Linked DNA regions of Nothobranchius furzeri. The protein of the gene in region 1 interacts with the protein of each later gene in a pairwise test. Links are inferred from orthologs where the notes say so. Each region holds a gene or a part of one and is shown in the gene's direction. Other genes may lie near its edges.

Region 1 (3,500 bases):
CACATTGAATGTATTATTTCTTAATTAATTGGTAATAATATACACGCAACAACCCGACATTTTTATGTGCTCAGAACTTCAAAACAAAGGGTTTAAAACGCTGTTTTAGTATCGAGTGTGAATGAGGAAGCCTTCACTCTCGTTGCCCGGCTGCGCGCGCAACTTTTGATGACGTAGGTAGTAAAAGGGTCTATTAACGGTGACTTTCATGTCATAAAAATGAGATTTACGTCTCCAGAGCCCCCTTCAGACAGGCCATGAAAAACGGAAATGTTCGGGACTCTGTCCTTAAGACCTTTGTGTCTGAATACAAACATCCGGATAACCTTTTCCGTAATTAAACCGGACGAAGCCCCTAGTAACAGGACCGGACTTGTCACGGACAGGTTAGCTGCTTCAGACTGGTGAGGTCGAGTTCCGGACAGGGAGGGGACCGGGAGGCGCTGTGCGCACCTAGATGGCTCGCTCCTGTAGCCTGCGGTGATCCATGGCAGCTCGCCTCCTACGGTACCGTCTCCTAGGCGCGAGACGGAGCGCTTCACACCGCTTCCGTGATTCCTTTATTAACCATTGAGCTTCATCATCCAGGTCTCGTCTTCATGTGTGCAGAATTATGCTTAACATAAGTCCGACCAGTGAGAGGAATTCTAGCTCTTCGTCGGCCATGTTTGAATGAATAGCTTTGTTTGGGTAAATGACGCATGTACGCCCGCCGCACCATGTTTACGCAATATCCGGGTCCAGCCTTCCCACCCCCTCCCCCTCAGACATCTGGAACTTTTCCCTGCTGTGTGAAGGCAGCTGAAAGGACAAGTTCAGGTACAAAAGTGGTGTGTCTGAAAACACAGTCCTGCTTAAAAACCGGACTGAATTGTCCACACATGTTCCAGAATGCCAATCTGAAAAGGGCTCAGGCGTGTTATGCCAATCCTGATGTTTGCTGTGTGTGATCCTGCAAACAGAACATCTCCAGAGTTCCAGAAGCTGCTCGGCATCGCCATGGAGATGTTCCTTCTCTGCAGCGACGACGGTGAATCAGATGTGCGGATGGTAGCTGACGAGTGCCTGAACAAAATCATCAAAGTGAGCAAAAACCTGCAAGACTCCTCCCACTTTAAAGTTGGCTTTGATTCGACGGTGTTGGACTTTTTATCTGACTGACTGGCTTGTTGTCGGCAGACTCGCGTTTATGTCGCAGTTTGCATTAAATCTGGCCCTCCATGTTTCCCATCAGCACAGACGTCGAGAGTTGGGGTCGAGGGAAAAGCTTCGCCTCAAGTAGTTTTGAGGGGTTTTCTCCTAATTTTTGCATTAAAGGAAACTTTTGATTTTAATGAACAGAAAACAGTTTAGTTGTTATAAAACGATCTCTGTGAGGATTTCTGTTTGTTTTCGTTGTTGAACCAGTGCTTGTTTTAACTCTTCAGGCTCTGATGGACTCAAACCTGCCCAGACTGCAGCTGGAGCTGTACAAAGAAATCAAAAAGGTCGCTTGCAGGTTTCTACAGTACCCCGAGTTTAGTTTGTGATCTAGTAAATAACGACAAGCGTTGTCATTTGTTTTTCACGGCTCAACAGAACGGTGCCTCTCGGAGTCTAAGAGCAGCTTTGTGGAGGTTTGCTGAGCTCGCTCATCTCATCCGACCACAGAAATGCAGGTAGCTGTCTAAATGTTCCTGTTATGTCGTCATATTCAGATGGCTGAACGTTAAAGGTGCAGTATGTAAGATTATAGTGAGAATGTTAGTGTGAAAATCCCATAAGAGTCTGTTTCAGTCATGTTGGCAGGAAGGTTAAACTGAAACATGTTTCATATCCAGCTGGCTGTGGGAATTGTCAGATTTTCTCCTTTCAATACAAAGGAAGGAGGGACGTAACTGCTTTACATCAGTGAGTGTGGCGTTGCCGAGCTAATGCTGCAGCGCCGACGACGGCCGGCAAAAAGCTCCAGAGTTGTTTAAAGAGCAAGTCACCCCCTACCAGAGTCTTACTCCGCTCCCACTTCCTGTTTGTTAAATGCAACAAATGCTGTTGCCTAGCAGACCGAGAGGGCGGAGCCGCTAACAAATACACACACAGGCTCACAACGACTTTGTGACATCATATGGTACCAGCTAACATTCTAGGGTACCTCTTAGCCAATAGCGATGGCAGATTTAAATTCAAATGCAGTGCAGAGTTTTTACCTGACAACGGCACAACACTGACGGTTTTAGGCAGAACATTTGAATTTTAAAGAGCAAGTCACCCCCTACAAGAAGCGTACTTCACTCCCACTTCATGTTTGAAAAGCGCAACAAATGCTGTTGCCTAGCAGACCGAGAGGGTGGAGCCACTAACAAATACACACACTCACGACATTGTGACATCATAATGTACCAGTTTACATCATAGCATACCTCTTAGCCAATAGCAGTGGCAGATTTAAATTCAAATGCAGTGCAGACTTTTTACCTGACAACGGCACAACACTGCCAGTTTCAGGCAGAAAATTAGAATTTTAACTAAAATGCACTAAAGTGCAAAACTATTGACTACACGTGTCTGCAGCACGATTAGACACACGTTTATATAGTTTATCGGGAAAAAAAATGTTGATTTGGGGGTGACTTGCTCTTTAACGTGGCTGCAGTAACCACATTTTACCACAGGATGTCATTTTTACTTCATTTCTACATGATGCACCTTTAAACATGGTCTTCTAGGTTTACGTAAAACAATGGGCTGGATGATTTAAGCTGCGTTGCTGAGAGCCAGGTGAAAATGAAACGATCAGAATCTGGTGCAGAAGTTAATTTATGTCAGTAAAACAACCTAAAAGGTAAAACTAATCAGAGACTGACTCGGTTCATGCAAATCCAGATGTTTTGGCTTTTATCTGTTCCATCTGTGATGATAATGGTTACAGCTGATGAAAACCCCACATTCAAAATCTCCAGCAATCAGAATATTGTTCAATGTTCTAGACTCTTAAGTGTCACGGTCTAATCAGCTGATGAATCCAGAACACCTGCAGAGGGTTCCTGAGCCTTTAGATGGTCTCTCAGTCTGAGCTGAATTACTTACATGAATGGACTTTTTCTCCAGATTCCAGTTTTTAGAGTTTTATTTGTAGTTTTTCTTCTGTCGAATCCCTAAAACTTGTTTAACGACTAAACTTGTTTTGTTAAAATGTGGCTGAGAACTCCTCGTGTAGCCACCGTGGCAGCGACTAGTCACGTTCAGTGTTGTCTCCGACTCAAATACATCACAACCTGATTGTGCTTCTCTCTGCGCTGCAGACCGTACCTGGTCAACCTGCTCCCATGCCTCACCAGAATCACCAAACGGCAGGAGGAAATGGTTCAGGAGACTCTGGCTGCAGCGGTGCCCAAGATCATGTCAGCCTTGGGACATTTCGCCAACGACGGCGAAGTCAAGGTGCGCCCCGCCCACTTGTGTGTTTTGTCAGAGTTATGTGTTGGCCTCTTGGCGAAGTATCCGTCTGTGCGGTCAGACCG
Region 2 (4,236 bases), on another chromosome or scaffold:
TGAAATTGATTGCATGTCTTTTAACAATAGAACTGAATCCCCTTGGTCAAAAAAGTTTTTGCAGATTCACAAGCAGAATCAGACTGATCAAAAATAATAAAAGAACAAGTTAGACGCTGTTAGAGTCGAAGCTGGTGGCTAGGAGGACCACACAACAAAAACAATTAAAACAATAATCTTACGATTTTTTAATATTCCACAAACACAAAGCTTTCTGTAAATAAACACTGGCAGCATAATCCGGTAAAAATGTTTCATATACTAGTTGTAGCATCGAAGAACTGCGGTCAAGTGAGTCGAAACATCATAAGCTAGCTTACTTAACAGTAACGTTTCACCCGACCCGAGAGGTCGCGTTACATTATTAGAAAAAATATGTTTTATAACTAATATACAGCGAGATAAAATACATATTTTTTTAAATAAAAAAAAAGAATGGCTGGAGGGCTAAGTGTTAGCAGGCTTCCTCTAGTTTACATAGCAACCACCGTTGCTAGGTTGCTACCCAGCTAATGAGCTAGCTTTATCTGAAGGATAACATAATAATACTCTTGCCACCACTTACCGTTCACGAACTGAAGCTGTCCATGAGTGATTCGCCCTCATCTTCACCTATAATTGCACATCGTTCAAAATATTTTTGAATCAACAAGTAGCTATTACAGCTCGTCTTTTTTTTTCTTCAATGGAAGGATTTGGTCACACTGCGCAAACTCGTGGTTTGTTCCAGATCTTCTCAGAGGTCGGGATTTCTTGGATTCATGTAGAAAAAATAACCAAATACCAACCAAACAAAATATAAAAAAACATTGAAATTTAGAAATACAGTTCAAAATGTGGGACTTCTGAAAAGTAACGACCTCAATACTCAATAATCCAGGCTAAATATAACATTAAATGTTAAATAAATAAACTTATTTGATATTTTATCGGCTTCCATCGTATTAATAATTAGTCGCACGCAGTAACATACAAGCCCTGTTGGTGAACATATTCATACAGTGTTAGAAGACATCCAATGCAGAAAAATGTGTTGTTCTTCGCTCGTAGTGTTGGCCCGATTAAAGAGTAGCAAAGGTTTTGCCGCTAGGTCCGATTTTCGTTGGGACACAAATGCAGCATGTCTGGTGATTTGTAGGTCAGCACCATTAAATTGCCGGCTACCGTAGAGTTGCTCCGCGTAGGCGGAGTTTGTAAAACCCACCCCACGCAGAACCCAGAAGTACAAGACAGAAGTAGCTTCATCTCCTCGCATCCCCCACAATGAACAGAAAGCGTATTTATTCCTGTTATATATATATTTCTAATGCACGTATATCATCTTCGCCCGTCAGGACTTCCAACCCGCTAACCCGCTAGAAAAGGAGCGGATCCACTTCCTGCATGCCTGCAAAACTAGTTCCGCTCAAATGTTTACATCGGGAAACAAGCAGTATGCACACTACAGACTCCTATTTGGCTAAATAAACTAATATCAATGGTGGCTGGTGATACTTTCTAAATAACACGGTGAGTTTTTTTTTTATCTGCTGTATGTGTTACTGCTGCAAATTAAAGGCAAAGATGACAAGAAACGCGGCTCTTCTACAACCCAAATTTCATCATTGACTCAACTATATATTAAGTGCATCATACTGTGAAAAGGAGCTCAGCGGCAGAATGGATGTTAAAAGCCCCAAGGAGGAACCGTGTGACCCAATGCCCCATGGGTGGATTAGAGAAGTGAGGCAGAGAAGAACAGGCAAGACAGCAGGAAAATTGGATGTTTACATAACAAGGTATCTTATTTTTTCTCCACCCTGATATTTAATCCTAGATCATGTCTAAATAATGTTTCTGTTATTTAAGTCCTGCAGGGCAGAAATTCCGCTCAAGAGCATCCTTGCATGCATTCCTGTTAAAAGGTGGAGGAGTAAACCTGGACATGAACTTTTTTGATTTTACTACATCCAGAGATGAGTTACCTAGCTCATCATCACTTCATTCTGAAGAAAAGCAGAAGAGAGGGGAGCAAAAGGGAGCAGGTGGGTGTAAGGAGAAGATTGATGAATATCTGAACACTCCCTCACGTAAATCTAAAAGACACTCTTCCTCCTACAGAAGTAAAGCTAAGGACACTGTAGTAAAGATTGTAGAGAATGACTTGTTGTGCAATAATTTTCCAGAGATCTCTACAGATATAGAAAAGGTTTGCGAAGATAAACGTAAAGAGTCTGTGCAGAGCTGCTCACATGTTGCACCATCACAGTTAGTGGATGATGCACATTGGAGCAATCAGAGAACAGGGCTGCTGAGAGACAAGATACTCAGACTTGCTCCTGCCAGAAATCAACAAAACTCCTTCCCTCTTCACGAAAACAAACTGGCAGAGCTGCAGCCTTCAGCCCTAGCTCTGAATGCTGAAGCTGAGAGCATGAATGATGGCGAGAGTGCACCAGACACAGATGTTACACCGAATCACAGCGAAGGTGACAAGTCTAATTCTGAAGTGGCGGGTGATGCTGACAGTCACGAGGAAGAGGAGACGGAGGTGTTGTTACCTGACAGCATCACCAGGAGCAGCACACCCAGGAATAGTAAGTGTTATCCACACAGTCCGACGCCATAAGAAGACCTTATGAATCAGAATTTGTACTTTATTATGATGAAAATACCAGTTGCACTAATAACATATTTCATTTTAGATTTCAAGTTCGTCTTCTAATTTAGTTTCAAGAAGAATAAACAATGCATCAGTTTGACAAAACGATAACTGACGAAAACTGATTTCTTTACTAAAAGGCCATGATAGGGCTCCAGTTCTTCAGACACCAACGCATTAGAAGCCTAATGTGCCTGATCAGGTTCAAGGCTGGCTCCAGAAAAGCCTGCAGACCAGTACAATTGGAAGGAAAGAAAACATTGAAGAATATACAAGTTTCCCTTTTCTGAAAGTTTCTTGCAGATTAATTGGTAATGAGTAGGATGTTGACAGTATGCATTAAAGGTTCATTCAGGAAAAATGGCGTCTCTTCAAGCAAGGGTAGATCATATCCATTAGAACCAACTGAGTCTTTGGCATCTGCAGAGAGAACTGTGATTATTTCATCAGAACAAAACCAAAACTTTTACTGAATGATTAGAATTTTTGGTCTCCTACTGAGACGCATGATGCTGCTCTTAGAGTGGGTTAACTTCCTGCTGCATGAGCTGGGAAAGCTGCCCAGGAAGAGTCCGCCGCAGACTCAAACATGTAAAAAGGATCCTAGAAGCTGTCAGAAAAGCACCCTGACTTTAGCTTAACCAACAAAGAGGACGAGGTAGAGACGAGATATAAGGATGTGGATATCTTAGACCCATCCAGGAGCTGCACCGTACAAAGATCTCCACAATTTGTTGGATTACACGATTGACCATCACAAATACAGAGATTGTCAGTGAAAACATTACTTTTGTTTGTGTCTGCAACAATATTTAAATAAGTCACAGATTTAAGTTCAGGTTGTGTTTTTGAAAACCTCCTAATGTCTTTGTGACGGATTGGTTTATTAAAAGCTTGCTGTCTGATTATAGAGTCTAAGAGTTTGGAGAACAAGTGGAGAACAAGCCCTTATTTTAGCAAGAAACCTCTCCGAGAAGGTATAGTTTAAAGAAGCCATTTGAGTTTAGAAAGTCGCTCATATCAGAGTCAGTTATGTTTGTTGTTTAGAGAAATGTTTATTTTCTCTACTCAGGACTCAGCCCACCCAGGAGAAAGGCTTTTAGGAAATGGACACCCCCTCGATCTCCCTTCAACCTCATACAGGAAACCCTTTTCCATGACCCTTGGAAGCTCCTGGTTGCCACTATTTTTCTGAATAAGACCAGCGGTAGGACTGCACCGCAGCACGTTTCCACCTTCTGAGTGATGAACTTGAGTCGGTACCAAAGCATTTAATTATTACAGGTAAGATGGCCATTCCAGTGCTATGGCAGTTCTATGAGCGCTACCCATCAGCGGAGGTGGCCAGGGAGGCCGACTGGAAGCCCATGTCTGACCTCATGAGGCCACTTGGGCTGTATGAACTCCGGGCCAAAACAATCATCCGATTCTCAGGTGTGTGTTGTTGGTTTACGTTGTCCACTTCTGGTGCTTCTACCCTGTGACGCGTGCATGTTTTTAGCTCTCTTCTCTCCTGCAGATGAATATCTGAACAAACAGTGGCGTTATCCTATTGAGCTGCATGGCATCGGCAAGTATGGCAACGACTCCTACAG
Region 3 (3,937 bases), on another chromosome or scaffold:
TTTAAGACAATATTTTTAAATATTTAACTCACCAATCCCAAACATGAAGTGGATCGTCTCCATCGTACATTCGAAGCTCAGACTCAAAGGCCCTAAAGAAGCAAAAGAGCAAAAAGTGCATTATATTTTAAACTACATACAAAAGATGTTCCAATTATTTTAGAAATACTAAAGTTTAATGGATTATCTTACTGTCTCTGTTGGTTGATTGCAGATGTGGGTCCATCTTGCTGCTGACTGAGGGCCTGATGTAAAGCTGATATTGCTCTGCCCCGCCTCAGCGGCTGGATGTTTTCTTTGCTAAGCTCCCAATCCACATCTTCTCCTTCTGCCATTGTGGAAATAAAGACCGGTGAACTGCAGGAGAAAACACATCATTCAATAATTCAGTACTAATTATACTTAGTTTATGCACCAACATCTGAGGGAAAAACACACACACACACACAAACTTGTAAGAATGAAGTATCTGGTGCAGACTGTTGCTGATACTCTAGAGTAAATTTGCACAAAAGCTTGAACATATTTGTAAACCTAGTAAATTACGTTGCACGTGAGCAAATACTCTACAATAAAACCAATGCAGTTCATTTCTGCTCAAAGCCCAAAAGCAAGCACTCTTCTTTCAATGCATTTTACAATCTTTCTTTTTAATGTTTACAATTATGACTCTTAATTCCAAAGCAATACATAAAACCAATTTTAAATATTTTATTGTTTTCAAAAATGCAAACACAAAGAAGTAAAAAGTAAAATAATATGGATGAAATAAGCAAATCCTGAATTAGATAACAGAAACTTTCACGATGCTAAAAAGTTAGCTACAAAAACACAATAAGCTAACACGTTAGCTAGTTATTTGTTGCTTAGCCGTGTCAATTATCCCAATACATAAAGATTTTCCAGTTAAAACTAGTATAGCGTTAACATTAATCGACTAACTGTGTGTTTTCATACCACTTTTAGAGTTTCTTTGTCTCCTTCGCCGATTACTTGCAGCTAACGATGAAACAGGGACAACGTTGAAATGGAGACCTGTCTTTTAAACAAATCCCGCGAGAGGATTTGGAGATAGCTGATTGGAGGAAATACATAACAGGAAAAATGCCAACTACTTCATACATCATTTCCGGTTTAGTTCCTGTTTTGATAATGCATCGTTGACAAGCTGAAAACAGATAGCTAATTCAGAAATTATTATTGCTTTAGCGCTTTTCTTCACCTGTTGGAATTACGTAAATTGTAATCTTACGGTTTCATGACGCTACACGTGACAGCATGGACAGTCGCTGTTATTGTTGTGCATCAAAGTTTAGTCTCTTCAAGAAAGAGGTATGGATTTACTAATAAATCAGCAATAAATATGTACGCGTTCGTGTGTTTGTGGACACGTGGTTAATATCTGGATTGTGCTGACTTCTATGATAGCTGGGCTGTAAGAGCTGTGGACGAGCCTTCTGCTCCAGCTGTTTGACTTTTAATGCTGTGGTGCCTCGCTGTGGTAACACCCAGCAGAAGGTCTGCAAGCAGTGCCATGGTAATTTGACAAGGTAAACCTCACCCGACACAATAAACCCCAAATTAATTATTTTCCTTTAATTATCTAAAACCTATTTTATCCTTTTTATTTTTAGAGGGGAGACTTCTTCACACAATGCTGGAAGATGGTCTCCTCCAGAAAATTACAAAAAGTTAGTGTTTGACCACGTTTGACAAAGAGGCCGTTACAGAAGTTTCATACTATCTAAAGTTCTGTTTTTTCCACAGACGAGTTGCTGCGCTGGAGGCAAAACAGCAAGGACAGTCGACTCAACCTGCCGTACACGGGGGAAGCAGAAACAGCAAAGTAGGCCATCTACCAGCAAAAGGCCTGAGTAAAGAAGACCAAGCTATTGCTGAGAGACTTCAAAAGCTGAAAGAGGACACTAAACCTAGTAATGAATTTAATCATCAAGCATTTAAAATAAATCTGAAAAATGCTAAACAGGATCTTTTAATGCAAAGCAATAGATTGCTTTTTAATCATTTCTTCAGGGTCCATTCCTTCAGAGAAGGAAATCGAGTCACGCCTTGCTGCTCTGAGAGTCCCCATCCAACCTGTTCCTTCTACAGAGGAGATGGAGAATCGTCTGGCTGCTCTGCGAAGTCATCCTCCACCATCTCAAGCTCCTGCTCCTGTGAGTTTTCCTCTAATTTCTTCTATCATGATAATGATAAATGGCCCACACTTGTATATAGGGCCACTCTGAGTAAGGACTCCAAAGCGCTTTACACTACAGTGTATGATTCATCCATTCACACAAACATTCACATCTTTACTGATGTAGCCACACCACACCCTCCGACCACCACCAGCAGGCAAGGTGGGTTTAGTGTCCTGCCCAAGGACACAACAGCAGAATTCTCAGTCCAGAGCGGGGATCGAACCTGCAACCTTCCGATTACTGGACAACCCGCTCATCCTGTTGAGCTACTGCTGCCCCAGTTTTCTATAATTGTTGTTGTTGTTTGTAAATGAAAATTTACTCTCAAACATTTTACCTGTTAAATTAAAGGTGGGAAAATATAAAAAAAATTGTACTCCTTATGCAGCTCAGCCATATTCAGTGGTTGGAAAAATGGCATTGAATTAAATGTGTTGCTAACAGAGTTCTTTAGTAACGTATGATCAAATTAATTACGTTGTTTCCAATACTGACAAGAAAATGTAGCACGCTACTATAATTCAGCAGCAAGGTGTGTTGAAGCTGACATCATGTGACCAGGAGCTAAAGGGATGGAAACAATCTTACATGTGCTGCTAATTTTCTTGCATAATTTATTTAGAAAAAGTAACGAAATACTTATTTTCCTGGTAATTAGAAACTTTTATTGCATTGTCATTCCATTACTGACTCAGTTACTTTTTGTAGTAACTATAGTAATTACTTTTTCAAAGTAATTTGCCGAACACTGGTCGTATTTTAAAGTGTTGAATAATTCAATGTAATGGTTTTTAATTAACTTACATGTTCGTGTGTGTGTGTGTGTGTGTGTGTGTGTGTGTGTGTGTGTGTGTGTGTGTGTGTGTGTGTGTGTGTGTGTGTGTGTGTGTGTGTGTGTGTGTGTGTGTGTGTGTGTGTGTGCAGGTGCACCAACCTCCTGATACCCGGACTCAGACTGAAAAAGCCAGTGACTTGTTAACCCAGCTGACGGAGGAAGTTGCCATTGACAACCAACAATCAAATCCTGAACTCAGTTAGTGATCACAAGGGTTAATGTGTTACCAAAAAACCTGTTTCAACAAGCTTTAAAAGGCAGAAATCCCCGTCTAAGTACAGCAAACACTGTCTTGCAGGCATAGATATGAATGATCTGAACAAGGGGGAGGGGGCTACGTTGGATGAGAACATGGAGGACAACCAGGGAGCAGTCAAACAGCTGGAGGCAGAGAAAGAGCGTCTACTGGAGGAGGCCATGAATGAGCTGAGGAACGAGCGACATACCCAGGATCAAATCCTCGACATGGCCAAGAGGCTGGCCCAGTTAAAGGGCCAGGATCCAAATAAAGGTGCTCAGAGCTGTTTCCACACCCACCTTCTCTCAGTCACGAGATCATCGCTGCAGCTATGACAGAACTGTTGATATTCACATTTTCATTAGCTGACATTTTGGTGTTGCACACTTAGTCACTGCAGAGGATTTCCAACAACCTGACAGTGAAGAGGAGACTGAGGAAGAAGCTGTGAGGAGAGTGCTAAAACAGGTCAGGGAGACGACACATTTATCACTACACCCACATGTTGTGGTTTACTGTTTTAGACCTTTTAATGGCTGCCACAAGAGGCTGCTGTTAGGCCGTTTAATAACTGGTAATGACAACTGGCATGCTCTGAACTTCCTGTTCTTGGTTGGCTCCAGCTCTCAGAAGAAGCTGCACTCGACGAAGCTAGTGGGT
Region 4 (3,974 bases), on another chromosome or scaffold:
TGTATTCTTGTTTGGATATTTAGGTACTCCTAATTGTTTTTAAGGGTCTTAATGGTCTTCAGCCCTCTTATCTCTCAGACCTACTTTTACCATATGAACCCTGCGCTCCTCTGGCATCCACCTCCTCCATCCATCCATTCTCAACCGCTTATCCAGAGTCGGGTCGCGGGAGCAGCAGCCTAAGCCGAGAGATGCCTAGACTTCCCTCTCTCTAGTTACTTAGCCCAGCTCTTCCGGGGGAACCACAAGGCGTTCCCTGGCCAGTTGAGAGACAAAGTCCCTCCAACGTGTCCTGGTCTTCCCTTGGGTCTCCTCCCAGTTGCACATGCCCAGAAAACCTCAGGAGGCGTTCAGGAGGCATCCTAATCAGATGCCCGATTGGTGTGTGTGTGTGTGTGTGTGTGGGGGGGGGGGGGGGGGTCCCTGCACTTTTACCATCCCAAAAATATATTACGCTATATTAAGTAGACACTGATTGAGCACTAGGACCAAGTGGAATACAACCGCTTGTTTTGAAGCCTGCTTCCTATCAGAACCATCCATAAGCTCATCTGTTGGCTCTGCTGATACTTGCCAACGTGTGACTGGCCGTACCTGCCACCTGTGTACTTGACAGTTATGCATTCTCGACACTTCATAAAAGTACCTCTAGGCTGTAGTTTTATACATATTTTTTGTATAATCATTGTAAATTTCACCCTTTAGTTAAGTCCCTTTCTTTTAATTTTTAAATCAAAAATTAGTTTGTGTGTACTTTCTGGCTTGATGATTTTTAATGTTCTTACTATTCTTGCTAATTAAGCACACTGAATTACTCTTGTGTATGAAATGTGCTGTACAAACAAAGCTGCCTTTCCTTTTACAGTTTTTGAGACATCGCCCTCTACAGGAGGAATGTTTAACTGCAACTGTAGATTCAAAACATGCCAAAATGTATTAGATGTTAAAAATTTAAATAACAGAATTCTATTAAAGCACCAAAATGATTTAATAGCTGGTGAACCATTAAGCTTATTACATCAAACTGTTAAACACCTTCTCGTTCTTGGCTGAATTTGAATTCAGTCGTACGTTGTCATCAGAATTTCCAAGTCGGAAATTACGTAACTAAGTTCTGCCCAGTCGTTTTTGTGATTGGACAGCGTAACCGGATATGGGATCACAGCGTGGTCTCTGATTGGCTATAAAAAATGGCGGAGAAATCCGAGAAGATATAAATGCAAACATCTGCGTAGAGTTTATTGCTGTATTATTACAACGGACTAGCAGAAAAGTAACAAAATGGACTCTCGTCACGATGAACAGGTTTCTCATGTTTCTGACAGACTCGAAAAGTAAGTGAGCTTACGGTGCATTTACAAGAGCGTTTACCAAACTAGCTAGCTAGCTGCTAAAGGCGTTTGAACTCACATGCGTTTCCGTAACATCAATTCTTAGTTATTTCTCCAATTTTACAAGCCAAGGTTTACAGCAATACTGAGCCCGTTGAGACGGGCAAAGGAGCAGGCTCAGCAGAGGATGTATTTCTTACGGCAACTAAGGAAGTACGGCCTACTACAAGAGCTGCTGATCATCTTTTACACTGCTGCAGTGGAATCCATACTTTGCTCATCCATCACTGTCTGGTTTGGGTCAGCCACAAAAATGGACAAATGCAGACTACAGCGTATTATTAAAACAGCAGGAAAAATCATTGGTGCCCAGCTGCCCTCTGTCCAGGAACTGTACATCAGCAGGACCAGGAAAAAGGCAGTGAATATTGTCCAAGATGCCACACATCCTGCATCTACTCTCTTCCATCTCCTCCCATCTGGCAGACGCGATAGATCGCTGTACACAAAAACTATCAGACACAAGAACAGTTTCTTTCATTCAGCCATTTCTCTCCTGAATCTGTAGATTCTTTTACCATCTTTTTATTATAGGTTTTAATGCTTATTCAGTATGCTTATGGATATGAGTGTGTGTGTGTGTGTGTATACATATGTATATATGTGTGTGTGTAAATGAACATGTGTGTGGGTATACGTGTTCTTATGTGTTTTTCATGTATTTTTATTCTCATTTATTGTAGTTGTTGTATGTGTTAGAGAGCGAACATCTACCGAAGCTAAATTCCTTGTAAATGTAATTTTACTTGGCCAATAAATCTGAAATCTGAACGTGTTTGGTCTTGCTCAGTAAAGTTGAGATCTATCTTCTGAATTTCTAACATAGATTTTTCTGTCCAGATCTCTGTCCATCCACGCAGAGGACAACCACGCAGAGGACAAGATGATGGAGAAGTATACCAGGTATCTCACACACAATCATCTGTTTTTGATTATGATGAAATTCCTTCATATCTGATGAGCTGAGTAACTGAAGGACTAGAAATAAAACCAGCAGTTTTCTCTCAAGTCTGTAATTATCTTGTGTGTGGGTGTTTTTAGCCCCCACGCTCAAACATACACTCATAAACTTATTCTTTATTTTAGGAAATAATAAATACACTGTGAGCACAACTAGTATTCATTTATTTTCTTATTGTTTACGAATCATTTTGCTCTTCCTGATAAAAGTTGTTACTGATTTAGATGACACATTTGTGATCAGCATGTAAACGAACTCTTTAAGTTGGATGAAATGTTCAAAAACATCAATAACAGTTTGATAGGAAGCTGAATTTTAGCTCTGAAAATGCGTCCTTGATTCAGTAACATGTTTTATTTTCATGTTTAGATAAAGAGCGTGGAATAAATGAAAACTATCACTAAGAGAAAATGTTAATTTACATAAATGTGCTACAAATTGGTGATTCTGTGACTCGTTTCCTGGTTCTATTAGCCAACTTGATGCAGATTTACTAATTTATGTTTTTACTGTAAATCATTTAGTCTGAACTGCTAAAGAACCTTTATTTTTATTTTTATTTAACCTTTATTTAACGAGGATAGAGACCCATTGAGGTTAAGAACCTCTTTTACAAGGGAGCCCTGGCCAAGAGGCAGCAAAAATTCCAGTTAACAAAATGACAATGATAAAACACTCAATCATTAAAAGCAGTTACAAGTTACTAATGCGGTCTCTGAAGCTGTCAGTTTGGTTTTGAAGGCATTTAGTGAAACCTGCTCGGTCATTTTCCAGGATTTCTGCAGCTGGTTCCAAGCAGAAGGAGCAGAGCAGGCGAAGGCTCTCTTTCCTAACTGTGTGCGAGCAAAAGGAACAGAAAGTAGCAACTGATCGTTAGACCTTAAAGGGGCATTATGGAAGTTTGACAGCCAAACATGTATAGAAATAATAAATGTCTTCTTCATACGTTCTCCTGCAATGCCCTGGTCCTGTAGAATGAGCTCTGGCATTTTTTACTGTGATTGCCTGTTTTTCTGTAAAATCACAGAAAAAGAGAGATGCTCGGGTCGAGCAGGCTGCTTCATGCGCGTTCACGCTCAGGCATCGCCCGTAGCGTTTGCTATCCGTAGCTTTAGCAGCAGAGAGAGAGGCAGTGCCACTTTGTCGCTGTTCCTAACGCCTAGTGACAAAGCTAGCTACATTTCTGAGGACCCTTAGCTACTTTCTGTAGAACTTTCTTCTAGATATTTCCTGCAAATTAGCAACAAAATAGCCATTTTCACTCCGAACCGTTCTTTGGTTTGACGTTGTTTCATCTGTCATCAAGGATATAAATGTTACAGATACAAAGGACATCACTGGTGCTTTAGCTCACCTAGTAAGATGTCTGACTCTCATGCAGAAGACCTGGGTTTGATTCTGGGTGTGAACATAGTTTATTTAGAGTTTCTTTTTTACATTAATGGTATATTTTTTTACAGTAAGATGCCCAAATTTTTATTTGAGACTCGCCAAACGGCATTGAATTCACAGATAAAAAAGATGTGGGTTCAACTTTCATTTTGGAACAATTTTTCAAGCAAGGGAAGGGAATGATCTGAGCATGCAGGAGGACTGACCCATCATAAACCTTTGTCGGCTGT
Region 5 (2,064 bases), about 55 Mb from region 1:
CTAGCTTTTATATTAGCTATCGACACAGTAAACAGTTACTGCCGTAAAACAGGCAGAGAGCTCCCCCTAGTGTACCTATCCGAACCACAAAACTGTCAAGTGCAGTTTCTGGTTAGCTGAGTGCTGTCCAATGTAAAGTTGGTCTAGTTTCTGCTTCAAGAATCACTGAAACCAGTTAGAAAGCAATAACGTGTGGAAAAACTAGTGTTGCTTTAACGTAACTGTACAACTTTAATTTCAAACCCATCTGGCTGCACACTTAACGGCTAGCTAAAAGGTACATGGCAGATCGTCATAATGGATGTGTTTGCTCAACAATAAACACCAGGTGGAGTTTTTATTGTCAACATGGTTTTGTTTATATTCCTCTCTTCAGACAGATCATAAGACCTTGTTTTTTGCCCAGCAAGCGTGTTTCTTAATCTAAACCTGTGTTTAACCCACCTATCCTTTCTGCTGCTTAAAGCACAACTATAAAGTTGATTGTTTTTATATACAAAGTTGCGTAAAAACTTTCTAGTTTCTTACTGTTTTTAATGCCGTTTGCATCTCAGGTATAGAAGACGTCCGCAAGAGCCGACCAGGTCATTTAGAGGCCACCGTTGACTGGTTTAGGAAATATAAAGTGCCTGATGGAAAGCCTGAGAACCAGTTTGGGTTTGATGGACAGTTCAAAGACAAGGTTGGCCCCCGTATAATAACTAATAAAACACGTCCGTTTGTGGTGAAGCTGAACTGACAGAAGTGAGTAGACCCAAAGGTGAAATCTGTTGCTCTCTGCTGGCAGGACTTTGCAGTTGAGATCATTAAATCCACCCATGAGCACTGGAAGGCGCTTATACAGAAGCAAACGAATGGTGGAGAAATTGAATGGTGAGTGAAAGGAAGAAACAAACACCTGCTGCATGTTTTATTTTTGACTGCAGCAAACTCGGCTAACTTCTTTTTTGTTTTTCAGTAAAAACGTGTCTTGCTGTGACAGCCCTTTCAAATGCAGCCATGCTGATGCCACAGCGGTCGTCCAGAAGGTGAGAAGTTTGTTACCAAACACAATAAAAGCTTTCAAATCGGAACCGAGATTCGAGTCATTCACATAATGATTTGGTCCAGGCTCCTGCTCCTGGTAGTGCACGTCCTGTATCTTCAGAAGGTAAGCGTGCATTAACCTTGGATCAGCTGTAGTCATTCGCCAGCATTTAATACTCTAACAGATTGTGTTTCACACCTGACACAGTGGACAAGTGGCACTTTGTGTGAAGATCCTGGAGCCAAGACTGAATGTGGAGTGAAGAATCACGAATCATCAATGCAGCTGGATTTATTTTTTATAAACACTCCTTTCTGTCATAAAGTTTCAACTGGAACTATGTGATGGGGACAGAGCTAATACCCCCCCATGTGGACAAAATGAGCTAGTGCAGACGTGTGCTGCAGTAATGGTGTGTGCTGGAGTTCAGCTTGGTGGGATTCTTTGGTGTTAGTTGTACAAAAAAGAAAACTCCCAAAGTGAATCTGCCAATGTTTTTGAAATTATACATTTATGGGCTCATTTGGCCACTTTGGAGTGTGCTTCTGTGTAAAGAGTTATAGTGTCTACCATCTACCAGTTTCTGGAGAAATGATTTTTTTTGGTCCGGCAGGATAGGTGAGCCAACTGCTAGTCTGAGCGACGTCAAGATCAAAGTGTGTTGATGCGAGCTGAAAGCAGCCCCAGTCTCCAAAACATCTGTGCTTTAAGAAGATGTTTACATAAATCCTTGCTCTGCTGTCATAATCTGACATTTTGCAGCTGCTGGTGATCAATATTCCTGTAAACACCCACAGAATTACATGTAAATTATCATGTAATGCTAAACCGATGGCTGTGTAAAAGTTTTTAGGAGAACATGGCAATTTCAGCCGTTACACTAACGTTTTAGAATAGCTCATCAGTCCTGTGTGACTGAACCCAGTTTGGGAAGCCGTCTATAACAGGTAGGATCACAATTAGACCCAACTTTTACACAAACACATTTCAAAGTGGTTAAAATGTTTCTAAACTTTGCTTTTAGAATCCTATAACAA
Region 6 (3,962 bases), on another chromosome or scaffold:
AAACAGCCATGGTCAGATAATAGTTTGTAATAAAACAGATTACTTACAGGTGATGTGTGTATCTGCGGTGTTTTCTTTTAGGTTTGTGCAGCTCGGTGTCTGTGCTGTGAATGATGTCAGAGAGCAGCTTGCCTGCCTCCTGCTAGAGCGTCTGTTGCGTTGGTGGGGGCGAAACAGCCAAAAGCCCTCCCATGAACAGCTGGGGATGCAGAGCGGAGGAAACGCTCTTTGTTTAGTTTGAATGAAGGCAGGTGGAGAGATGGGTGAGGAAGGGGGAGTGGTAAAGGAGGGGTTGATGAACGTTCCAAAGTAGGTGATGTGTTTTGCTTTTTCCTTAACCATAACACATCCTGATAAAATGTTTCTCAAAAGACATATAAAGAAAACTTAGCACATCTGGGAATTGAACCCGGAGTCTCTCGCATTCAATATGAGAATCATACCCCTCTACCAACAAAATGCTGATGTGTTAAAGGAACATATGTATATTGTAGGTAATAAATGTTTCATGTTTTCTTGACATTTGTGCTGTTGAAGCATCGGTTCACGATGACACCTTGCTCGCGGGATTGCGGTAAAAACGGAAAAGCTATCATGATATCCCTCTTCCCTAGCCATGGCCAAGCAGATAATTTATACAACACTCACGCAGCGACACAGCGACCAATATGTTCGGACAGCAGACCGCCGAATTTTCAAATCACATTCTAAATGACCATGCTAAAAATTATGGGCTCGTCCGGGATTTGAACCCGGGACCTCTCGCACCCGAAGCGAGAATCATACCCCTAGACCAACGAGCCACGTGTCCGGGAAAGACACATAAAATAATTTAAAGTTAATTTAAAGTGATATGTAGTTTTTCTGTAAATGTACTGTTTTAAAAGTATTATTGTATTTTTACACACTATAATAGAATGTCTAATTTCATGGAATTTCAGACGTACCTTCACGTTACACGACATCTGAATCTTAAGCCGTGAGATTAATGTGTTTGTTTTTTCTTTAATTTTCCCTCCCAAACCTTATTTTTAAAGTCGAAGACCAAATAATAAATTACATTTTTTAAAATGTTGCCTACGTAAAACGTAATGAGGTCACAGTTAGAAGGCGGATGTACCGCCTTGGAACCGGAAATTCTTTGTAAAGAAAAGCAGTTGAACGCCGAATAGTGTTGTTGACGTAGCGATGTCATCAAACTTGTTTATACTCTACAACGTGCCGGTCTTAGCTTGTAAGGACAATCTGGATAGAGTCCACCGTGTTGTAGCACCTTAGCGCGCAGAGGGGACAGACGGCGCCATTTTTGAACGAGATGGAGGTTTCTTTGGAATCAATACAGAATCCTGATATAAGGTAACAGACGTTTGGTTTGTCGTGAGGCTAAGTCAGCCATCTTTAGATGCGTGTTTACACAAATGAAGTTGATAACACGCTTTAATCTTCTGCTACGCAGCTCTGTCCTGTCCTCATGCGAGCCTGAGCTGCAGGAGCTGATGAGACAGATTGACATTATGATCAATCATCAGAAGAGGGAGTGGGAGGCTGAGCTCCACGCTCTGCAGCTCAGGGTCACCAGTGGAGAAGAAGAGCTTTTAACCTCCAAGACTACCATTGAACGGAGGGATCTGGAGGTGAAGTGACGATTCATCCTTTTTTGCTCAAAAGAATCACAAAAGTAATTTAATCAACACAGAAGCTTGTAATAAAAAAGCAAGCATGCCCTTATTTTGACATGCAGCATTTTGAAGGTAACATTTTTCCATCCCATTTCCAATTCCAAACATGGACTCTCCTGCTAAAACAGTTTTTATGGCCACTGTCTCCATTTCTGGCCTCACCTAATGTTGGAGACTTACTAAATTATTCCTTAAATGATCAGAAAGCCTCTGCTATGAAGATTCGTTGTACTCTCAAAACAAAACCTCCTGCAGATTCAATTAAATGTTTCAAAAATAAATGTAAATGTGTGAGGATGTTGGTTTTAGGACATGTTTTAAACCGTAAGGAAGGAGACAGTAAATAGTTGTGGCATGAAGCATTTTATCTCTATTCCCATAATAACACCATCACCTATTCAATCAATCAATCAAACTTTATTTCAGACAAGGGATATGTCCATAACAAGAATAAAAAAAATAAAAAATAAATAAAAAAATAAAATACAAACACATTCTAATTACAAACCATATAGGCAGTTGCTCCAATGTTTAAAAAGGACTGAGGAGTACCTCGTGTCACTGTAAGATAAAGATGACAGAGCTCTAACAACCGCGTTAGCTGACAAACTCAGTCGGCAGATGAATTTGTACATGAAGAGCCTCAGAAGCGCATGAAAAGTTGGGATGTTACTCGTAACAAACATGTGACTTGCCGAAGTCCATCTAGGGAGCTTCATGAGGATTCTAAAAGCATCCTGATAAGCCACTTGAAGCTTCTTCATTACTACCTTACTATAGTTGCACCACAAGTGGGCGGTATAGAGAGGAGTACAAAAGGAACGAAAGAGGGACACTTTTACAGGATCTGAGCACATGCCAAAGTTACGTGCCAGAGTGTTAGCCTGCATGTACAGCTTACCACACTGCCTCTTAATGTCCTCGTCATCACAGAGGTCACTTCTTAAAATGTGCCCCAAATATTTTACTTTGCTTACCACTTCCAGGACCTGATTTGTTAAGTTAAAAGATGGAAAATTAAGCTTCAGGTCCCCTTTAGTAGCAGCAATCATAACCACACTCTTTTTAGGGTTAAACAGGATGTCAAATTGCTCACCATACTTAGCACATGCCCTGAGCAGCTGCTGCAGGCCTGCGCTATAGGGAGACATGAGGACTAGGTCATCTGCATATATTAAATGATTTACCAGTCGGTCACCCACCAAGCATCCAGTCTTACTAGCATTCAGAGTAACAGACAACTCGTCAAGGTACAGGTTAAAAAGGACAGGTGACAGAATCCCGCCTTGTCTGACTCCATTTGATACGGAGAAAGGTTCAGACACTTCTGTCCCCCACTTTACCTGCATCAGTTGATGAGAGTACCAGAAGTGCAAAATCCTAACTAGGTAAGAAGGGACCCCTCTGTTTTGTAGCTTGATGAATAATTTCTGATGATTGACTCTGTCAAAGGCCTTAGAGGCATCTAAAAAACACATAAAAACAGAAGTATTATGCCTCATGTATTTGTTGCAGATTGGACTTCTTCACAAGCAGCTTGAAGCCGTTCAGACGGATCGGCAAGAGTTGGTATCCAAGTACGAACAACAACTAAAGAGACTCCGTGAAGAGGTGTGATCATCTGTTTTTCCTCAAATGCACTCAGCTATATCGCTTGTATCATGTTTATTGTTAACATCGTTTCTTATAGTTGGACAAGTTGAAGAGAAGTTACCAGAAGCTTCATCGCAAACAGCTTAAGGAGACAAGTGGAGGTGGAAAGGAGACTGAGCTTGCAAAGGTGAACTAATAGATTTTCCTGGCATTTCCATCTCCTGGAATTTGATTAATCGTTCTTACATTGGTGCAGAAGCATCAGCAGCGCTCTGAGCAGCAGCGAACTCGGTACCAAAACCAGCTGACCACACTGGAGCTCCAGAATAAAAGCCTGAACCAGGAGCTTGCTCACTTAAAGGTTAAAAAGCACATTTATGACTTTCACTCAGGAAGCCAGACATATTTAGTGTATAAAAGTGTGGAAGACTGCTGCATTGTTGTTGCATTTCAGTAATATTTGTTTTTCCAGAGCCAATGGGCATCGGGGCGGGTGGAGAGGGAACACAAGGAGTGCTGTTCAGAGGTGCAGCATCTGCGTGCACAGCTGGAGAAGGCTCAGGCCAGCCTGCACTCACAGGAACTGGAACTGGATCGCCTCAGACCGCTGGAGGTGCTGTTGGGACAGTCCCAGAGAGAGCAGCAGGTTAGCAGGGCGACAGGAACATGTGAGATGTGTGGCTTCTCAGC
Region 7 (4,017 bases), on another chromosome or scaffold:
TCCTAAAACTGAACCTTGTGGTACCCCACAGGAAAGGAACAGAGGATGACACAAGATCAACAAGGCTAAAGCAAAAAATAAACCATCTAAACCGCTCCACTACTCCAGACATTGATCATTTCAGTCCATTGTGTCAAAAGCTGCTTTAAGAGCTAGTAGTGCAAAACTCATAGAATCGCCAACATTTGTGTTTGTGTAAATATTAATTTGCCCCAAAAATATTTACATCATAACATTTGTGCAAAATCAATATTAGGTTTAGCTCCAAAACAATATTTAACTGGGATCTAAATATTAATTTTGGAAGATAAATATTTAATTAGAAGCTAAAAAATTAGTTTGTAAACTAAACATTTAGTTCCAAATTGAATATTTAGTTAGTAAATTAAATAATGATTTTACAAACTAAATATTTAGATCTGGCCTAAGTATTTAGTTTGTAAAACTAAATATTTTGCTTGCTAACTAAATGTTTTGTTAGAAACTTTTAACATTTATAAATGCATGAATAAAATGTTGAAAATTTAATTTTGAAATTTTACTCCCATTTTTTCCTTATGATAGGCTATGTAACCATAAATACTGCTGTTAAATTATGAATTTACAAGTGGCCCCCCATAAACTACATCATCTGGAGACCTTCAGCTGATGGTGGTTCAGTCACAGGCTCATTTAATCTTGAGAAAGTTTTTACAAGCTTTACTAAAAAAGATCACCAAAAGCAGTATGGTTTCAAATAAGACTCTGTGATGGGGAGAATGTAACTTGGAAATCTCAGAAAAATATTTTTTCTGGATTTCTAGGACTATGAAGCTGACACATTGTTCTTTAAAATGGGAAGTGGCAGCAGTAATTTGCTATTTGTTCCTAAAAAATTAAAGTATCATATACACTGTGTATAGATTACTACAGCATTTTTAAGCTGTAAAGTATATTTTAAAGCATTCTCGAATAATCATGACAAATTTTTAGAGGAACGAATATTTGGGGAGCATCGGTATCACCCGAAACATTTCATGGCGCACTGCTTTTACCCAACCAATCAAATTGGAGCGTGGACAAATTGTTTTTCCCTGAGTTAGGGTTTACAGGAAAATTTTATCTTAAACTCTTTAAAAATCATGGCTGAGTAATTTTTAGATACAACTTCACATTCAAATCAATTGTCTTTTAACCCATTAACATTATTTTACATTGTTGTTATAAAGTTTGGTTTGACTGTTCTGATGCCAATGCTGCACCCTGAAAGACAATACACTGGGTTTAGATTTTCTCTAGCGGAAAGACCGAGGAACGAACAGTTTTTCCACTCGAGTTCTCGTCAGGAAGTCTTCTGTCGTTTGTTAAAATTTACTACTTGGCCACTGGTAACCTCAAAATGACCGTATTTTGTGTTCTTGTGGGAAGAAGTCTCGAATCCTTCAGTTTCGCTAGCTTAGCGGCTTTGTTGCTGCTTTGTTAACTGTTGGATTTTAGCTAAAGACAATGAAGCTATTATAACTCTGAAGTCGTTAAAGTGTTTGTTGATCATCTAACAAAGAATCACCGCTTTATTATGGACCGTTTTCTATCTGCTAGCATTAGTTACATTCCTTTTAAATAATGATCGAGTAAAGCGAAAGCGCAGTTTCATTTGCTGAGTCAGACATCTGCATTGTACACTCACGGAGCATTTTTCCCATGAATTAAAACAAGCAGCTCATTAGCGCTCTGACACTAAATACAAACAGCTGAATTAACTGATTCAACGTTTCACATCTGATGCAGCATCAAATAATGTTTAATTACTATCTAATACTAAACGTAGCTTCTTTAAAACCAGTTTACCCTGAAAAGCTGGTTTGTGTGATTAATAATTCTGCTTTTTAGTTTACAGCCTTTAGGACAGTCATGGCAGATGAAAACACACTCTTTTGTGGTAATTGGTAAGTATGACTATATCTTATGATCATTAATGTATTTCATAGCCTATATGTATGTTTGTTTTAAATCAAATCTGTTGTTGTTTTGTTTAGTAAGAGAGACATTCCTGAGGCAAATTTTACCACCCATGAGATTCACTGTCGAAGAAACATCGCCCTCTGTGACGTGTGCCAGGAGCCGGTGCCTCACTCAGATCTTCTGGAGCACAAGATTCAAGAGCACACTCGGGTACATCTGAACAAAACATCTAAAACCTTCACGTTATAGAATATAATAATATCATAATGTTAATGATGTAACCAATTTACATTAATATCACAATATACATCGACATGTGACATGTTTGTATTTATTACTGAAGGTCTTAACCTTAAAAAAAAACAAGGATTTAACAAAAATGTTTTCTTTGTGTCTTTTTCTGAGAGTCACTAATAGTCCTGATAGGGTAGCCTTGTATACATTTACAGTATGGGGAATTTTATCTGAGATTTTTTTTACTTCCCAAGTAATTTTCTGCGTGAATTACCCATCAAGCCAACAGTAGCTTAATTTCCAATGAAAACCACTAATTAGAAAGCAACATCATACTGAAACTGTATGATTATTACTAGGGGGTAAGACCGATATATCGGGCCAATATTTACAGTTTTTTTTAATGTATTGGCATCGGCCGATATTTGTCCTAAGTAGAGCCGATTCAAAGTTAGGCGCATCCTCGGGCAGCTCGTGGTGTTGCAAAATTTAATTTAAATGTGTTTTTACGTTCACTAAAAACATCTGCATAATAAATGCTCTAAGTTAACTTTATTTTTAACACTGAGCAGTGCACAAAGTTAAGATTGAGCACTTAGTTAAATTCAGAGTTCATAAACCGGTTCAGCTTCAGAAGGTTTGTGCATCAACTGATGTTGTTAGGAACATTTTAGTATGAAAATAAGGTGGATATCTTCTGGATATCAGCCATGAAAATCGGCAGTACATATTGGCCATCGGCTGACCGTGTCCTACATATCGGCATTGGTTATAGAACAAACAATATTGGTCAACCTCTAGTTTGTTACTTCAAACATTTTTTTAATCTTTTGCTTCAGATTATGTGCAAGTGTGGATTGAAGATTGAGAAGAATTTTCTAGATGTACATCAGGTACAGTGAAGATTAATGTCCTACATACCATATTGCTACTCAGCCAAAGGGTTGTGGAAACTGTGGAAAATGTTATTTAACTGCAGGAAGAAGCTGTAAAACACTGGCTTCTTCTATTTAACCTTCATATTTCTATTGTCTGTCTGTTTTGCAGAGCTCTGAGTGTCTTCAGCGGCTCGTCCCATGCCAGTACTGCGAACTGGAGCTTGTTTTCGGTCAGTCCAAAGAGCACGAGGATTATTGTGGAGCGCGCACCGAGCCTTGCCCACAATGCAATTGCAACGTGATGCTACGAGAACAAACCGTGCACTCAGTCATATGTGGAAGCCTCACACCGCCCCAAGAGAGAAACAACAGCAAGACGAGTTGCAGTCAAGCAGAGCAACCACCTTCAGATGCGTGGCTTGAAACACACTCCATCCGAAATCTCCTGAGAACCCAAGACAGAGGTTTTAAAAATAATAACATCAGTGCAGCAGAACAGCAATGCTTTCCTCAACCATTTGAACCCCCAGGTTTCAACCCTTCAAGAGGATTTCTGCCCTCTGGAGACGGGAAGAATGCTTCTCAGAAAACATCATTTAGCCGCTGTGAGTGTGTTTTAATTCAAGAGTATCAGTCGGCATGTAAACTTGTATTTTCTGAAATGTTTGTGTGATTATATTTTTTAGTCTTGGAGCAGAGTGATTTTCTGAGTGGAAGCAGCAGAGCATGGCTACCAAACGCATGCACAGAGGACGAGGATTCATCAGGTCTCGACTACATGTTGGCTCTCAGCCTGCAGTGTGATGGAGACTCAGTGGCTGGAGGCGCTGAGGGGAACGTGTGGCGTGATCCCTGGGACCAAAAGATCGAGAAGTCCAACACATCTGTAAAATCTTCACTTTCTGAGTCCAACTACAACCATCCAGTCTTCAGTGGAGGGACAAACACGAGTGCTGTCCAGGCC

The links.
Region 2: the proteins of htt (region 1) and mbd4 interact in binary tests that used the Homo sapiens proteins (3 or more experiments, as listed by UniProt). The link is inferred for Nothobranchius furzeri from reciprocal best matches to the Homo sapiens genes HTT and MBD4.
Region 3: the proteins of htt (region 1) and zfyve19 interact in binary tests that used the Homo sapiens proteins (3 or more experiments, as listed by UniProt). The link is inferred for Nothobranchius furzeri from reciprocal best matches to the Homo sapiens genes HTT and ZFYVE19.
Region 4: the proteins of htt (region 1) and ercc6l interact in binary tests that used the Homo sapiens proteins (3 or more experiments, as listed by UniProt). The link is inferred for Nothobranchius furzeri from reciprocal best matches to the Homo sapiens genes HTT and ERCC6L.
Region 5: the proteins of htt (region 1) and ppa2 interact in binary tests that used the Homo sapiens proteins (3 or more experiments, as listed by UniProt). The link is inferred for Nothobranchius furzeri from reciprocal best matches to the Homo sapiens genes HTT and PPA2.
Region 6: the proteins of htt (region 1) and cep63 interact in binary tests that used the Homo sapiens proteins (3 or more experiments, as listed by UniProt). The link is inferred for Nothobranchius furzeri from reciprocal best matches to the Homo sapiens genes HTT and CEP63.
Region 7: the proteins of htt (region 1) and trafd1 interact in binary tests that used the Homo sapiens proteins (3 or more experiments, as listed by UniProt). The link is inferred for Nothobranchius furzeri from reciprocal best matches to the Homo sapiens genes HTT and TRAFD1.

Annotation. Positions count from the first base shown.
Region 1 is NC_091746.1:25,505,601-25,509,100, forward strand, and holds part of htt (huntingtin), read left to right. Parts: intron 1-962; coding exon 963-1,083; intron 1,084-1,427; coding exon 1,428-1,487; intron 1,488-1,578; coding exon 1,579-1,658; intron 1,659-3,281; coding exon 3,282-3,420; intron 3,421-3,500.
Region 2 is NC_091755.1:54,388,487-54,392,722, reverse strand, and holds the start of mbd4 (methyl-CpG-binding domain protein 4), read left to right. Parts: upstream 1-1,436; 5' UTR 1,437-1,659; coding exon 1,660-1,778; intron 1,779-1,848; coding exon 1,849-2,576; intron 2,577-3,552; coding exon 3,553-3,618; intron 3,619-3,713; coding exon 3,714-3,848; intron 3,849-3,925; coding exon 3,926-4,075; intron 4,076-4,160; coding exon 4,161-4,236. Other genes in the region: ift122 (intraflagellar transport protein 122 homolog), read right to left, coding at 566-606. UniProt on the Homo sapiens protein: Mismatch-specific DNA N-glycosylase involved in DNA repair. Has thymine glycosylase activity and is specific for G:T mismatches within methylated and unmethylated CpG sites. Can also remove uracil or 5-fluorouracil in G:U mismatches. Has no lyase activity.
Region 3 is NC_091758.1:34,203,342-34,207,278, reverse strand, and holds the start of zfyve19 (abscission/NoCut checkpoint regulator), read left to right. Parts: upstream 1-1,137; 5' UTR 1,138-1,278; coding exon 1,279-1,332; intron 1,333-1,428; coding exon 1,429-1,550; intron 1,551-1,634; coding exon 1,635-1,691; intron 1,692-1,767; coding exon 1,768-1,934; intron 1,935-2,010; coding exon 2,011-2,177; intron 2,178-3,128; coding exon 3,129-3,237; intron 3,238-3,337; coding exon 3,338-3,550; intron 3,551-3,668; coding exon 3,669-3,745; intron 3,746-3,900; coding exon 3,901-3,937. Other genes in the region: bub1bb (mitotic checkpoint serine/threonine-protein kinase BUB1 beta), read right to left, coding at 33-92, 193-335. UniProt on the Homo sapiens protein: Key regulator of abscission step in cytokinesis: part of the cytokinesis checkpoint, a process required to delay abscission to prevent both premature resolution of intercellular chromosome bridges and accumulation of DNA damage.
Region 4 is NC_091750.1:36,677,206-36,681,179, reverse strand, and holds the start of ercc6l (DNA excision repair protein ERCC-6-like), read left to right. Parts: upstream 1-1,174; 5' UTR 1,175-1,281; coding exon 1,282-1,334; intron 1,335-2,231; coding exon 2,232-2,294; intron 2,295-3,974. UniProt on the Homo sapiens protein: DNA helicase that acts as a tension sensor that associates with catenated DNA which is stretched under tension until it is resolved during anaphase. Functions as ATP-dependent DNA translocase. Can promote Holliday junction branch migration (in vitro).
Region 5 is NC_091746.1:80,712,818-80,714,881, forward strand, and holds the end of ppa2 (inorganic pyrophosphatase 2, mitochondrial), read left to right. Parts: intron 1-554; coding exon 555-682; intron 683-787; coding exon 788-873; intron 874-958; coding exon 959-1,028; intron 1,029-1,110; coding exon 1,111-1,150; intron 1,151-1,234; coding exon 1,235-1,257; 3' UTR 1,258-1,564; downstream 1,565-2,064.
Region 6 is NC_091756.1:60,715,228-60,719,189, forward strand, and holds the start of cep63 (centrosomal protein of 63 kDa), read left to right. Parts: upstream 1-1,162; 5' UTR 1,163-1,315; coding exon 1,316-1,356; intron 1,357-1,456; coding exon 1,457-1,634; intron 1,635-3,194; coding exon 3,195-3,290; intron 3,291-3,369; coding exon 3,370-3,459; intron 3,460-3,528; coding exon 3,529-3,633; intron 3,634-3,744; coding exon 3,745-3,918; intron 3,919-3,962. UniProt on the Homo sapiens protein: Required for normal spindle assembly.
Region 7 is NC_091757.1:46,521,896-46,525,912, reverse strand, and holds the start of trafd1 (TRAF-type zinc finger domain-containing protein 1), read left to right. Parts: upstream 1-1,217; 5' UTR 1,218-1,226; coding exon 1,227-1,367; intron 1,368-1,869; coding exon 1,870-1,925; intron 1,926-2,015; coding exon 2,016-2,151; intron 2,152-3,014; coding exon 3,015-3,068; intron 3,069-3,222; coding exon 3,223-3,658; intron 3,659-3,739; coding exon 3,740-4,017. UniProt on the Homo sapiens protein: Negative feedback regulator that controls excessive innate immune responses. Regulates both Toll-like receptor 4 (TLR4) and DDX58/RIG1-like helicases (RLH) pathways.